Linked DNA regions of Pelodiscus sinensis. The protein of the gene in region 2 purifies or fractionates together with the protein of the main gene of each other region. This does not show direct contact. Links are inferred from orthologs where the notes say so. Each region holds a gene or a part of one and is shown on either strand. Other genes may lie near its edges.

Region 1 (6,958 bases), on a different chromosome or scaffold from region 2:
CAACTCCTCAATTAGAGGAGGAGGAGGAGGAAAAGCAGTGGTACTCTTTCTGGCTCCAAACACAAATGAAACTCTACCCACTTGAGACACCAAAACAAGACACCACATCTAGGATATAATATTCCAAAGAGGGTTATGAAAGTTCTACTGGGCTACACTCAAGCTTTAAGTTGTGCAGAGGCTCTGCAGATATTCTGCTGGTGGTAGTCACTGAGGAGACTGGCAGCTATGGCCACACACTCTCCATCCAGTTCTGGGTCATGTTGGTTCCTTATCGCATAAATAAATTTGTAAATGCTTAGCACTGCCAAAGCCTACACCCAACTTAGACATTCAGTTACTGATAACCAAAAATATGGTTTACCCAGGCAAAGACTTCACTTCCCCTTAAACGTAGTCAGATTTGGCCCCATTTTGTCAATAGAGGTAGTCCCCGGGTTATGTCAATCCGACTTAAGTCGGACCCCTAGTTACGAACGGGGGGGGGGGGGCGCAGCTAGTGCGGGGTGCCTCCCCCACTGTCGCCACCTCTGGCAGTGTGGGGGGCGCTTCCCCCAGCAGACCAGGGAGACGCGGAGCTAGCGCCCCCCCCCCCCCCAGCAGACCAGGGAGATGCGGAGCGGCTTTTCTCGCCGCGGAGGACACTGGTGGCAGGACAGCCAAGAAATGCCGCGGTCCCGCCGCCCGCGTCCTCCGCGGCGAGAAAAGCTGCTCCGCGTCTCCCTGGTCTGCTGGGGGAGGCGCAGCTAGTGCACTCCCCTCCCCCCAGCAGACCAGGCTTTTCTCACAGGTGGTCAGTTTCAGCAACACCTGAATCAGGACGCCTGGGGTAGTGCAGCTGGGGAGCTGCCGGGTTGGTCCCACAGCGCCGAGGTGCGGCGCTACTGGACCCACCCAGCAGCGCCCCAGCTGCTCTGTCCCAGGTGTCCCCGATTCAGCCGCTGTTGAAACTGATCAGCGGCTGATTCCAGGAAGCCCGGGGCAGAGCAGCTCTGCCTCTGGCTTCCTGTAGTCAGTGCTGGTCAGTTTCAGCAGCGGCTGAATCGAGGACACCTGGGGTACAATATGTACCAGTTCCGACTTACATACAAATTCAACTTAAGAACAAACCTACAGTCCCTATCTTGTATGTAACCCGGGGACTGCCTGTATCACAATAAATCTTGAACAAATCTCTTCAAGTTCATAACAATTCTGAATGTTCTGATTAAATGAAAAATCAGGCTATTTCAGGCATTCTAAATGGTTTTGGGACCCCAGGATATCAAATGAAAAAGTGGGACTATCCTATTAAAATGATCAAGTTAATATACCACTCTTGGTACTTAGTATTGCCTCTCCCCGTTCACTGCCTTACGCCGGTATTCAAAACCCCCACACAAAAATGAGCTTTGTAAAAAAACCCAGAAATATAGAATTCATGCTGTACTCCCTTATACCATTCCTTAGAATCATGAACTCTATGATTTCATGATTACTTTCACCCAACCTGCCTTCCACTTTCAAATTTTCAACCGGTTCTTCCCTATTTGTCAAAATCAAATCAAGAACAGCTTCCTCCCTTGTAGGTTTTTCAGCCTTCTGAAATAAAAAATTGTCTTCAATTCAGTCCAAGAACTTATTGGATAGTCTGTGCCCCGCTGTTAGTTTCCCAACATATGTCTGAATAGTTAAGCCCCCATCCCCACTAAATCCTGTGCTTTGAATGATAGTTGTTTAGAAAAAGCCTCATCCACCTCTTCTACCTGGGTAGGTGGTTTGTAGTAGACCCTTAGCATGACATCACCCTTGTTTTTTATCCCTTTTAATCCAACCCAGAGTCTCTCAACACATCTGTATCTGATGTCCAGCTCCACCTCAGTTCAAGTGTGTACATTTTTAATATACATGGCAACACCTCCTATTTACCTTGCCTATCCATCCTGAGTAAGCTGTATGCTTCTATACAGTATTCCAATCATGTGTATTATCCCACCACATCTCTTTGATACCAACTGTGTCACAGTTGTGTTTATTTATTAGGACTTCTTCCTGCTGATGAAGTGGAAGCACCTACATAGACCATAAAGTGAGTACATCTGTCAGTTCCCCAATTTTAGTTAGGATGCTTTTTAAAATTCATTTATTATTGCTACTTTGTTAATAATTAATTGTGAGGACAATGTAATGTGTTAGGCTAATCTCTTCCTACAAATGAAAATAGCCAAGTTAGAACCAATTTGGTTCTACTAAGTTTATAGTCACATAAAAAAAACCAAAAAAAACCTCAGCTAATATATATTTAACATAAGATGACAAATTCTCATACTTTTTTTGATCTAACAGATTTTTTTTCAAAAGAATGTTCAAATAACTAAGATTGTGATACAAGCGACAATAGCACACAAAGTTCGTGTTGACATACCATTTGCAACCAACGCCTTTCTGCATTTGTGTCAACTTGACTTTTGTTGGTTTAAGTCTTGAGTCACTTAATTTTGTTTATGTAAAATACAGTAATTAAGTAATTTTCATGCTGGTTGATATATGTAAACTACTTGATGCTGCTTGAAACAAAGTCTCTGCAGAGGCAATATGCAATCAATATCACAGAAATTCTATTCCAAAGATTTCTGGCAACAGTTGGGCACGGTGAGCTGTTTTCCAGGACCCATTCAAAACCTAAAGAATAAGTTTTGGATGATGACTGTCAGGATACTTTACAGCTCCTACCCACCTAAAGGGGAGGGGGGGGAGAGGAGAGTCCAAAAGAAACAAATACTAATGAGCCAACAAGTATCATATAAAGATGGCTCTGCTAGTACACTTCCACCTTTCCTCTCCCTGGGAACTCTCATCTCCCAGCTCTCCCTTGCTACACCAACCAGTGCTACTGTACTTTAAAGTAGTACAACAGGTTGTAACATGCCACGCACTGGATCACCCTGCTGAAGGGTGACCATGCAACCAGTGGAGGGACTAAAGCAGGTTTCCTGTCTGCCCTGCTACAACGGACCACACTGCACACCAGACGCAAACAACATCAGATCTAGCTCCTAGATGGAGGGCCACAAGGCACTGCCCTGCCCAGCTGTGGGGACTGATGCCCGAAGCAGAGAGAAGCATGCAAGGCCATTTGTGCACCTCCACCTAGGAACTGAGCACAACACCGTGCATAATGCCAGGACAGGCAGGAAGCACCGCTGCTGTGCCACTGAACAGGTGACTGCAGAGGTAAGCCCTGCAGAGGTAAGCTCCTGAAACTTATCTCTGGACCCACACCAAAGCCTGCACTCCAGAGTCCACACTTCCCAGCATCCCATCCTCCTGTCCCAGCCCTAAGCCCCCTCCCACGCCCTGAACCTCTTTTCCCTACCCCTCAGCTTGAAACCCTCATCCCCAGCCCCATGCCAGAGCGTGCATGCTAGTCAAAAGATATAATTAAGTCACAGGCAACAACTATTTCCTTCAACTGGGTCGTGAGGAAAAAAAAAAGGTCCGAGTCTGTACTGTACACCAGGTTCTCAACCAGAAGCCCGTGGCCCCTCAGTGGGCCAGAACCATATCAGCGGCTCCACAAGGCTGCAGCTACAGAACAGAACTCCAGCATCCTCCAACAGGCCCAAAGCCAGGATCCATGGGGCTGCAGCCCCATGCCCCAGTGCACCGCAAGAAGCCACAGGGCTGAAGCTGCGAGCCCAGGTGCTCCCTTTGGGCGGAAGCCAGCAACTGCTGCTGTACATGGAGCACCCATGGGTGGGGCTGGGCGGGCACAAGGGCCCTCGCTACACAAAGGCTGGTCTGACAGGTTGGGCGGCCGGCGGGGGGGGGGGCGCTTCCTCCCCGGGCCCTGCTGAGCGAGCCCGACCCCACTTGGGCCACCCCCGAAACAGAATCCAACTCAGGCCGCCCCCGGCCCTGGAGGTTTATAGCCCCGCGCCGGGCCAGGAGCGAGCGCAGAGACTGGGGCGCGGGCGGCTCTGGCACCGCCCAGCCTCGCCACCACCGCAGCAGCCGCGGCCACGTCAGCCCTCCCGGCCTGGTGACGCAGCAATCGCCCGGCCCCTCCTGGCTCCGGCTCCGAGCCGGATCCGCCCTCGCCCCATGCTGCTCCGCGGCCGGCCCCTCCTCCGCCGCCTGCCAGCAGCCGGCTCCTGCGCATCCCGCCGGGACCCGAGCGCCGCGCACAGCGGGACGGGCGGCCTGGCCGGCCCGGGAAAGGAGCACAAGGGTAAACCCGCCTCTCGTCCCTGCGCCCGGTCCCCCCAGCTCCCCGCCCGCAGCATCTTCCCTCCGCCACAGCCCCGCTCTGAGCCCCCTCCCCCCCCAGCATCCCCAGCTCCCCGCCCGCAGCATCTTCCCTCCGCCACAGCCCCGCTCTCAGCCCCTCTCCTCCCCAGCATCCCCCCAAATTCCCGCGCCCCCCTCTGCCCCAGCCCCTCCCCTCTCCCCCCAGCATTTCCCCAACTCCCCGCCCTCAGCATCTTCCCTCTGCCCCAGCCCCACTCTCAGCCCCTCGCCCCCCCCAGAATCTCCCCAACTCCCCGCGCCCCCTCCGCCACAGCCCCTCCCCTCTCCCCCCACAGCATCCCTCCAACTCCCCACCCCCAGCATCTTCGCTCCGCCACAGCCCTGCTCTCAGCCCCTCTCCTCTCCCCCCACAGCATCCCCCCCAACTCCCTGTGCCCCGCCCTGCTCTCAGCCCCGCTCTCAGCACCTCTACTCTCCCCTCACAGCATCCCCCCAACTCCCCGCGCCCTGCCCTCAGCATCTTCCCTCCACCACAGCCCTGCTCTCAGCCCCTCCCCTCTCCCCCCACAGTATCCCCCCAACTCTCCACACCCCGCCCCGCACTCAGCCCTCCCCGAGCAGCTTTCCTCCACCCCACCCTCAGCATCTTCCCTCTGCCCCAGCCCTGCTCTGTCCCCTCCTCTCCCCCCACAGCATCCCCCCAACTCCCTGTGCCCTGCCCTCAGCATCTTCCCTCCGCCACAGCCCTGCTCTCAGCTCCTCTCCTCTACCCCCACAGCATCCCCCAACTCCCTGTGCCCTGCCCTGCTCTGCTCTCATCCCTCCCCCAGCATCTTCCTTGTCTTGGTTCGCACCCCCCCCCCCACACACACACACACAGCACATCCTCTCTGAGCTGCCCCTGCTCCACAGTCTCCTCCATCTAGCCCCGCTCTCATCTCACCACCACCACCCCACCCCCTACAAGCCCTCAGCATCCTCCCTGAGCCACCTCTCCCACCTAGTCCTACTCTCAGCCTCTCGCCCCACACCCCTTACCATCCTCTTGGCTCCTGTCGCCACCATCTCTCCATCCCCTCAACATCCTCCCTGGGCTGTCCCAGCCCTGCTCTCAGCCCTCCCCATCATATGCCCTGGGCCACACCTGCACCCCAGTCCTACTTTTACCTTCCTGTCTTCCTCCCCTCCCCCCAGCATCTGTTCTGGGCCACCTGTGCTGCAGGTCTACTCTCAGCTCCTCCTCCCCTCCCCCACCATCTCTTAGCACTGTCCCTGGATATCCTCCCCGCCCCCCCCCCCCCCCTCCAGCCCCATCTCTGCTTTCAGCCTTCTCTCCTTCCGGGCTGCATCCACCCCAGCCTTGCTCTCACCTACTCCCCTATCCCCTGAGCTTCCTCCTGGGATATTTTCCCCAGTCCTCTGCACTTTCCTATCCTCAAGCAGCTTCCCTCTTTCCATTCTGTCCATCCTGGTACTCTTCCCTTCTTTCCCAGATCTGCTCCTTAACCCTAACCTGCCTCTTCTAAAGCATCCTCTCCCCATTTCTACTTTTCTTTGGCCCTGTTTTACCCTATTCTGCCCTCTTACTTTCCCTCACCCTCATCTCCTTCTTTCTTCTCCGTCAATGTCACACACTTATCCTCTGTTCTCTTCCTGCCCTCTTGTGCCATGTTTATACAGGTGTTTAAATGAGCATTTTGGTATTTTATTATCTCACCCTAGAATAAGATGCTAAAGGAGGTATCTTTGTTCCCAGGCTGTTTCACACAACCTGTATGCCTGGACAGACAATATCCACTCCTGCATGCATAGGCACACAACAGGCTGAATGACTCTGAAGGCACCCTAGATCAGTTTCACTCAAATTACTTGAAGTGGTTTTTAGGGTCATATTGATTTTTAATAAGTTTCAACTGTCTAATGAAGCACGGTGTACAATCTTTGGGTATGTCTACACTTGCACCCTAGTTCGAACTAGGGATGCAAATGTAGGCAACTGAAATTGCTAATGAAGTGGGGATGTAAATATCCTGCACTTCATTAGCTTGATCTCGCCAGCGTGTTACTCCACTGAATAGGTGTTTCGAAAGTGAAAGTGCACGTTTCGTTAGTTCGAACCAAACCCTTTGAGGAGTAACATTAGTTCGAACTACGGGATTTGGTTCCAACTAACACATCCCAGCGCGCACTTTCACTTTCGAAACAGCTGTTCAGCAAAGTAATGTGCTGGCGAGATCATGCTAATGAAGCACGGGATATTTAAATCCCAGCTTCATTAGCAATTTCGGTCACCTACATTTGCAACCCTAGTTCAAACTAGGGTGCAATTGTAGAAGTACCCTTTCATCCGAGGAGTGAAATATTAAAATAACGGATTTCAACCTACTTGCTTTCACATGCAGAAATATCTCATCTTCCTATACCTGAGTGAGTGAGACTAAAGAAAATAAATATTGGGCAGGAAAAACAAATATTGGGCGGGAAAAACAATCAGCATACAAATGTATTCCTCAACAGTAAACATGTCTAGATTTTCATATCCTTCATTAGGAGCTTATCCCATGAGTAAATCTTTGAAGAAGTACCCCATACCAGAAACGGAATGATAAAGTTAATGTCCACTAACATTTAAGTTACGTAGAAATATCAAAAGATGTTGATTAGTTGATAAGTTACTAAGAAATATTAACAGCATCTACAGAAGGCACCCGACGTTAATAACTGGAAA
Region 2 (7,084 bases):
ATTAAATGCTATTGTGGTGGGCAGTTTTGGTGTTTTCCCCCTCAGCCGGGATGCTAAATTTTATTATGTTGTTACCAAGCATTTCAGATATACTTACCTTTTGGACCAGATCCTGTGCTCCACGTAGGGCTAGATCAAGAATTCTCTCCCCCCTTGTGGGTTCCAGGACTAGCTGCTCATAAAAATCAGTCTCTGCCTCCCATACCAAGGTGACATGTACCAAGCCAATTATGGAGAGTTTCTTTTTTATTTTTATAACCTCTCTAATCTCTGAGCACTTCATGGAGACTATTATCATAAACATCAGGTGGTCAGGAATATATCCCTATTGCTATATTCTTTTTATTCAAGCATGGAATTATTATCCACGGAGACTCTATGGTTCAGTTCGACTTATAAGATTTTTGATACTGATGCTTTCTTTCTCATACAGTGCCACTTCTTCACCCGCACAACCTATTCTGCCCTTCTGATATATTTTGTAACTTAGTATTTGTGTCCATTGATTATTCTCATTCCACCGAGTTTCTCTGATGCCTATTTCATCAATATCCTCATTAAATACAAGGCCTCTAGTTCACCTGCAATTATTTGTTTTGGCATTTGTATATAAGTATTAAAAATTATCTTTAACTGCCTGCCACTATCTGACAGAGTGAAAGGAAGGGGACATATCCCCTCAATGCACTTTCCAACATACCACTCTCTGGTGCTGGACCACTGCATTCAATGGAAGTGCACCCACTGAACTCAGTGAATGCAGGGAACAAGTTTCTACTTTTCACACAACATGCTTTCTGAGCTAATGGCATAAAAGTATCAGAGCACGTCAGTGAATAGGCACTGGGACACAGAAAATTAGATACACCTGGGCCTCCTGACAAATGTGTCAGGGAGAGCAGGAGTGGCAGGAGAAGCACTAGAAGTCCTGCAGACCTATTCCACCAAAATAGACCCTTGAATAGTTCCAGTCCAACAGTCCATAGATGGAAATATCAGTTCCAGGAGCAACTACACCTTTGAATGCCTCCTCCCCACCAACTTCCTTGAGAGCATTTATTTAAGGTTTCAGGGTTTCAACTGTCACCTCTCTTGGGGAGAGATGCAAGTCTTCATCCCTTTCTAATCAGGAGGTTAAACTGCAATCCCTGTGCAAGTCACTGCAATTTCCCAGCAATTCTGACTTGGGTAAAAGTAGTTGTGGTTAACACTTTCTCTACAGTTTCAGAAGTGCATGCTAGTTACCAACCAGTCTTCACAAAGCAAACAGTATTTATTCTTAGGGCAAATGCATTACAGAGAAAAAAGGCCATATCACGCAATAAGAGTCCCTACATACATGGTACTGCTTACCAGAGGTTACACAGCAGTCTTACTGAGTCTGAGCAGGGCAAAGTCTTTCCAACCCTTCCACAAGAGTTGGGCTCCCCCTTAAACAGAAGGTCTGTCTGTTTGCTAGATTAGACAGAAGCCCTGAGCCCATTTACAAACAGCTATTTTACATCAAAATCCATTCTTTGGCTGTTAGTCTTTGAAAAACCCAGTTTGAACCAGCATATGCAGCTGCCCTCATGGAGACAGGGCTCACTTCCACCGTTCTCTGTTCTTAGCAGAATGGAGGCAACTTTTCCCCCCACTACAGTTCTACACAAGCCCTAGCCCACACTGCTATATAAACCACCCACACACTTAACAAAACATGGCCCCCAAAGAAGTTGCATGTGGTTTCAGTATGTGTCTGAAATTGATCGCATTATTCAGCCCATGTCACTGGGTCAAACTAAAACGATCTTTGACATAACCCCAGGGCATGTTTAGTAAACAAAAGAAGCTATTGCACCCACCCTTCCCGGCTAGGATCCTCAAAGCATTAAAACTGGCTACTGGAGCAAGTGCCACGATTACAGCTGCCACCCGCAGCATTTCTTGGAGCCCAGGCTCATAGATTTACACACACAACCCCCACGCGCACACACCCCTCACCTCACCCCCCCGCCCCTCCACACACACCCCTCACCTCACCCCCCCCGCCCCTCCACACACCCCCACCCCTCACCTCACCCCCCCGCCCCTCCACACACCCACCCCTCCCCGCCCCTCCACACACACCCACCCCTCACCTCACCCCCCCACCCCCCCACGCACACCCCTCACCTCACCCCCCACGCCCCTCCACACACACCCACCCCTCACCTCACCCCCCCGCCCCTCCACACACCCACCCCTCCCCGCCCCTCCACACACACCCACCCCTCACCTCACCCCCCCACCCCCCCACGCACACCCCTCACCTCACCCCCCACGCCCCTCCACACACACCCACCCCTCACCTCACCCCCCCGCCCCTCCACACACCCACCCCTCCCCGCCCCTCCACACACACCCACCCCTCACCTCACCCCCCCACCCCCCCACGCACACCCCTCACCTCACCCCCCACGCCCCTCCACACACACCCACCCCTCCCCTCACCCCCCCGCCCCCCCACACCCACCCCTCCCCGCCCCTCCACACACACCCACCCCTCCCCCCGCCCCCCCCACACACCCACCCCTCACCTCGCCCCCACCTCACCTTCCCCCTCCGCACACCAGCCCCTCCCCAGGTCACCTGGAAGCGGCCTCCCGGCCAGTCTCCGCAGGGCAAGTGGCGGTGCCGCCCCCGCGGAGGCCCCGGGACGCTCGCAGCGCGCGAGCCCCGGCGGGGGGAGGGGCAGGCCGAGGCGGGCCGGACGCAGAGAAGCCCCCCGCCCTAGAGAACGGGCCGGGCTGAGCGAGGGGCGGGGCTTGGGGGCGTGTCGGGGACGCGCGCACGGCTCCGCCTGCCGGGGACGCGGCCTGCACGCGGACGCGCCGCGGGACACGTGCCGAGGGGGCCTGGGGGCGGGGCCGCGGTAGGCCCGCGCGGCGCTGGGGGGAGGGGGGACTGGCCCCAGAGCGAAGGTCTCACCGCGGTCCGTCTCCACCACTCCAGCCCCGCCGCGTACTCCTCCGCGCGCATAACCTGCCGCTCCAGCCAATCAGCGCCAGCCGCGCCGCGAGCCAATCACGAGTGGAGTCTCCTCCCGCCCGCGGCACCGCCCAGCCTAGGCCCGCGGAGATTGGACACGCCCCCGCCTCGCCAGCCTATCGGGGGTCCCAACCCGAGGGGCGTGATCACATAGGGGCACGTCCAGTGATCGATCACAGCGCGTCCCCCGCGAGCCAATGGAAACCCGTCTCCTCCCCGGCAAGGCCCCGCGCTCATTGGCGGCTCAGCCTGCTGCGTGCCTACGTCACCGGAATTGGACGGAGCACTTCCGGGGCCGCGCGAGGGGGCAGCATAGTGGGCACGGTCTTCATGTCACTCAAGAGGCCTGGTCCCGCCCCCGGCCTGCAGGGCGGGTGGACAGTGCGACTGGAGACTCGCTCCGGCCCCGCCCTCCCGCGCACGTGGCTCTGCCCCTGCCTGTGGCCCCCCCAGCTCGCCCGGCTGCGGGGGCCTCGGGGGGCGGGCCTGCAGGGGGGGCTCAGGGGAGGGGGCGGGGGGCTCAGAGCAGGCCTGCAGGGGGGGCTCAGGGGAGGGGGCGGGGGGCTCAGAGCGGGCCTGCAGGGGGGGGCTCAGGGGAGGGAGTGGGGGGCTCAGAGCGGGCCTGCAGGGGGGGGCTCAGGGGAGGGGGTGGGGGGCTCAGAGCGGGCCTGCAGGGGGGGGCTCAGGGGAGGGGGTGGGGGGCTCAGAGCGGGCCTGCAGGGGGGGGGGCTCAGGGGAGGGGCGCTGCTTCAGGCTAGTCACGCTGCCTGCTGTACTCGCAAAACCTAGGGGAGGGCTGCCCCGCGGAGCTTTGGCAGGAAACTCAGGGAGCGGCCGCACCTCAGACACGCTCCACTGCTGGACAGGAGGGAGGCTTGCGTGCAGGAGTCACTCCTGTTTGCACAAGCATTATTGTGCAAAAAGACGTGTGTGGACAGGCAGCAAGGCTGTTCTTGCACAAAAAAACAATCGAATCAAGCACAGGTGCTCTGGCGGCCGTTCTGTTAATGGCAACCAGAGCTTTCTTGCGAGGCAGCATCCTTGCAGCGTAGACGCACACTCTTGTGCAAGAAGTTTTTGCTGATGAGCTCTTCCTCAAAAAGCTTTTTGCGCAAGAAGCCTGCAGTGTAGACGTCAGCTCCGGAACATGAATATTCTTCTCACCAAGCAACATAATGTGGGCAGGAGAGCTGCTTCCGTCGACAAATCTGGTGCCACTTCCAGAGGTGGCGTTTTATGCCAATAGGAGAACTCCCTCCCACCACTGCAAGTTGCAGTACTGTGGCTATGTCTACACTACAAGGTTTTTGCGCAAAAACCTGCGGAGGGTCCACACCTCAAATGCGCTTTTTGCAAGTAAAGCGGCAGTAATACAGAAGAACAGAGGGCTTTTTCCGGTGTAGGTAAACCTCCTTTTATGAGGTATAACTCCTTTTTGCGCTATAGCTATTGCACAAAAGGCAAGTGTGGACACTCCACAAGGGTTTCTTGCACAAAAAGAGCCTATCCAAAAAAGCACAGGTGCTCTGACGACCATTATGTGAATGGCCATCGGAGCTTTCTTGCACAAGAGCATCCATGCAGTGTGGACGCTTTCTTGTGCAAAAGCGTATCACAAAAGTGATGCACTTTGAGGTGTGGACGTGCTGTTGCACAAGAAGCCTGCAGTGTAGATGTAGCCCAGTGGTCCCCAACGCAGTGCCCGCGGGCGCCATGGCGCCCGCCGAGGCATTCGTGTGCGCCCACCGACAACCTGGGCTGGCCCGGCACACGGGAGGCGGCGGCTCCAGGCGTGTGACACGCACCAGCGCTGGGTGCGCGGCGCTCGGGTGGCCCCAGGCCCGGGGCACATGCGGGCGCTCAGGAGCGCGGTGCTCGAGCGGCGCTGGTGCCAGCCCCAGGCGTGTGGCTGTGGCGGCAGCGCTGGCCCACGGCACAACGCACTCGGGCGGCCCCAGCCCCGGCCCTAAGGCACACACCGGCGCTGGGTGCAAGGGCATCCCAGTCCCCTGGCGTGCCCCCGGGCGCCCGGCGCATGAGTGGCCCCACCTCCTGGGCTCCCGGGAGCCTCTAAACGTTGGGGACCACTGATGTAGCCTGTGTGTGTAGACATGCCCTCAGAGGCTTAAAAATGGAGGGTGTAGCTCAGCTTGTCTACACTGCTCCTTCTTGCGCAAAAACCCCCTCTTGCACAAGAGCCGTTCTGCCTAAAAATAAGTGGCAGAACGGCTCTTGCGCAAAAGTGCCTTGTGCAAAAATGGCAGCTTATTAGGTATGCAAATGAGGGGTGGCAATATTCATTGCTGCACCTCATTTGCATGTCTTGCGCAAGAATGCGCAATGTAGATGTAGCCTGAAGGGCCACAGATTAGATGTTCCTGACCTACAGCAAAGCAATACAGTGGCCAGATGTTTTCTTTTTGCAGCTTTTTGTCACCAGCCATCATTGGCTTAGTGGCTCGGAGACAAGTTTACTGTGTACTGGTGAGTCATCTGACCCTATAGTCCCTGGCACTTGGATCCCATAGTCCTTTCCATAAGGGTTTGTCCAGTGAGCTTTGCCAACATTTTTCCCTCTGCAGGGTTCTACAGTGGGAGCCGCCTTTCAGTGGCATATATGGATGTATGTGCAGCACTGGGAGATAGAGACTTGAGAGAACTAGCATTTCTGAAGATTAGTAGGTATGGGATGGGCAAAGCCTATTGGTTATGATGTGTCCCAGCTCTAGGACCACGATGGGGTCACTCTCTGCAGTGCATTTCCCAGCACCTCACATCACTTGACTAGCACAGATTCTACCACTGGGTGTGTCTAGACTACATGGCTCCGTCAAAGATGAGTTTACCAGACAGCAAAATGAAGCGGTGATTTAAATAATCGCCACTTCATTTTCCTCAAATGGCCGCTGCACTGTGCCAATCAGCTGTTTGTCGGCACAGCGCGGTAGTCTAGACGGGGATCAGCCGACCCCCAGCTCCCTTTGTCGTCAGATCCCTTATGCCATTGACGGAGCCATGTCGTCTAGACACACCCACTGAGTTGGCAGCGTCATTCCACAGCTAATGCAGCTCACTGTGAGGAGGGACTTTCTCCCTCCTGTTCAGTATCAATCACTGTTTGTTTGCTTTGCAAGTTAGGAAAATTAAAGTATCATCATAAGAAACAGCTCAAGTTGTTGGGGAAATCATTGATAATGCTGGTCAGGCTTTGCTAGACTGGTGAGACGTCGGAGGAGGGGGGGGAAGAAGGATGAAAATAAACAGTTCACACTTTATGCCGTTGATTTAGCAGGCACTGAATTTAATTTGGTTAGTCAATGTCTAGTGTTCCTTGCTGCAGCCCCTGGCGGGCAGAAATGATGGACTGTGATCACCGTTCAGGTGCTGCAGCAGAAGTGGGTTAAGAGAGGTGGGGATTTACCTGCCAGTTCAGGGCTATTACTGCCATAGCACCAAGTGGGGGCTGCTCCGGAGCCTGCATTGCAGAGGAGGCTGTCCTTGTACCATATCGTTGTCCCTGAGGGAATGGCCTTTCAAGTAAAAATATTCCACATGGAGCCTCATGGTTGTCCTAGTTCCGTTTTGGGAATACAATCAGACCAGGATGGTAGGCATCAAGGGCTTGATTTCTAGGAGGGCTGAGTCCCCACAGCTGAACTTGGATCAACTTACTTATCAGGAGTCCAGGTGGATTTTTCATCACTGACCATTTTTCAGCCAAGACTGGTTGTTTTTCTCAAAACTCTGCTCTAGGAATTGTGTTAGGGCAGGTCTCTGATCTGTGCTTTACAGGAGGACACACTAGAAGATCCCAATAGTCCCTGTTTCCATGGAGTTTATGAAATTACGAGTTGGAGTTCGTAATTGCTGCTTCTTGGCATCTCTGGAAATGAGGGCACAAACGGCCAGAAACAGTCCAGGTGAAGAGGTGTTCACAAGCCCAGAAAACAACTGTTTAAAATGGCCCTATTGTCTCCAAAAGCCACACAAACTGCCACTCCCTTTCTACACTCATTGCTTTACAAGGACACGGTAAATCCAGCTCTGACATAACCACAGAAGATGAGAAATGGAA

The links.
Region 1: the proteins of MTMR4 (region 2) and DNAJC10 purify together in Homo sapiens (affinity purification with mass spectrometry; 3 studies listed by BioGRID and IntAct, counting the BioPlex papers as one, with this or other methods). This does not show direct contact. The link is inferred for Pelodiscus sinensis from reciprocal best matches to the Homo sapiens genes MTMR4 and DNAJC10.

What each region holds. Positions count from the first base shown.
Region 1 is NC_134717.1:49,427,343-49,434,300, forward strand, and holds the start of DNAJC10 (dnaJ homolog subfamily C member 10), read left to right. Parts: upstream 1-3,949; 5' UTR 3,950-4,210; intron 4,211-6,958. UniProt on the Homo sapiens protein: Endoplasmic reticulum disulfide reductase involved both in the correct folding of proteins and degradation of misfolded proteins.
Region 2 is NC_134731.1:19,042,036-19,049,119, forward strand, and holds the start of MTMR4 (phosphatidylinositol-3,5-bisphosphate 3-phosphatase MTMR4), read right to left. Parts: upstream 3,016-7,084; 5' UTR 3,001-3,015; coding exon 2,950-3,000; intron 2,840-2,949; exon of another isoform or gene 2,611-2,839; intron 1-2,610. UniProt on the Homo sapiens protein: Lipid phosphatase that specifically dephosphorylates the D-3 position of phosphatidylinositol 3-phosphate and phosphatidylinositol 3,5-bisphosphate, generating phosphatidylinositol and phosphatidylinositol 5-phosphate.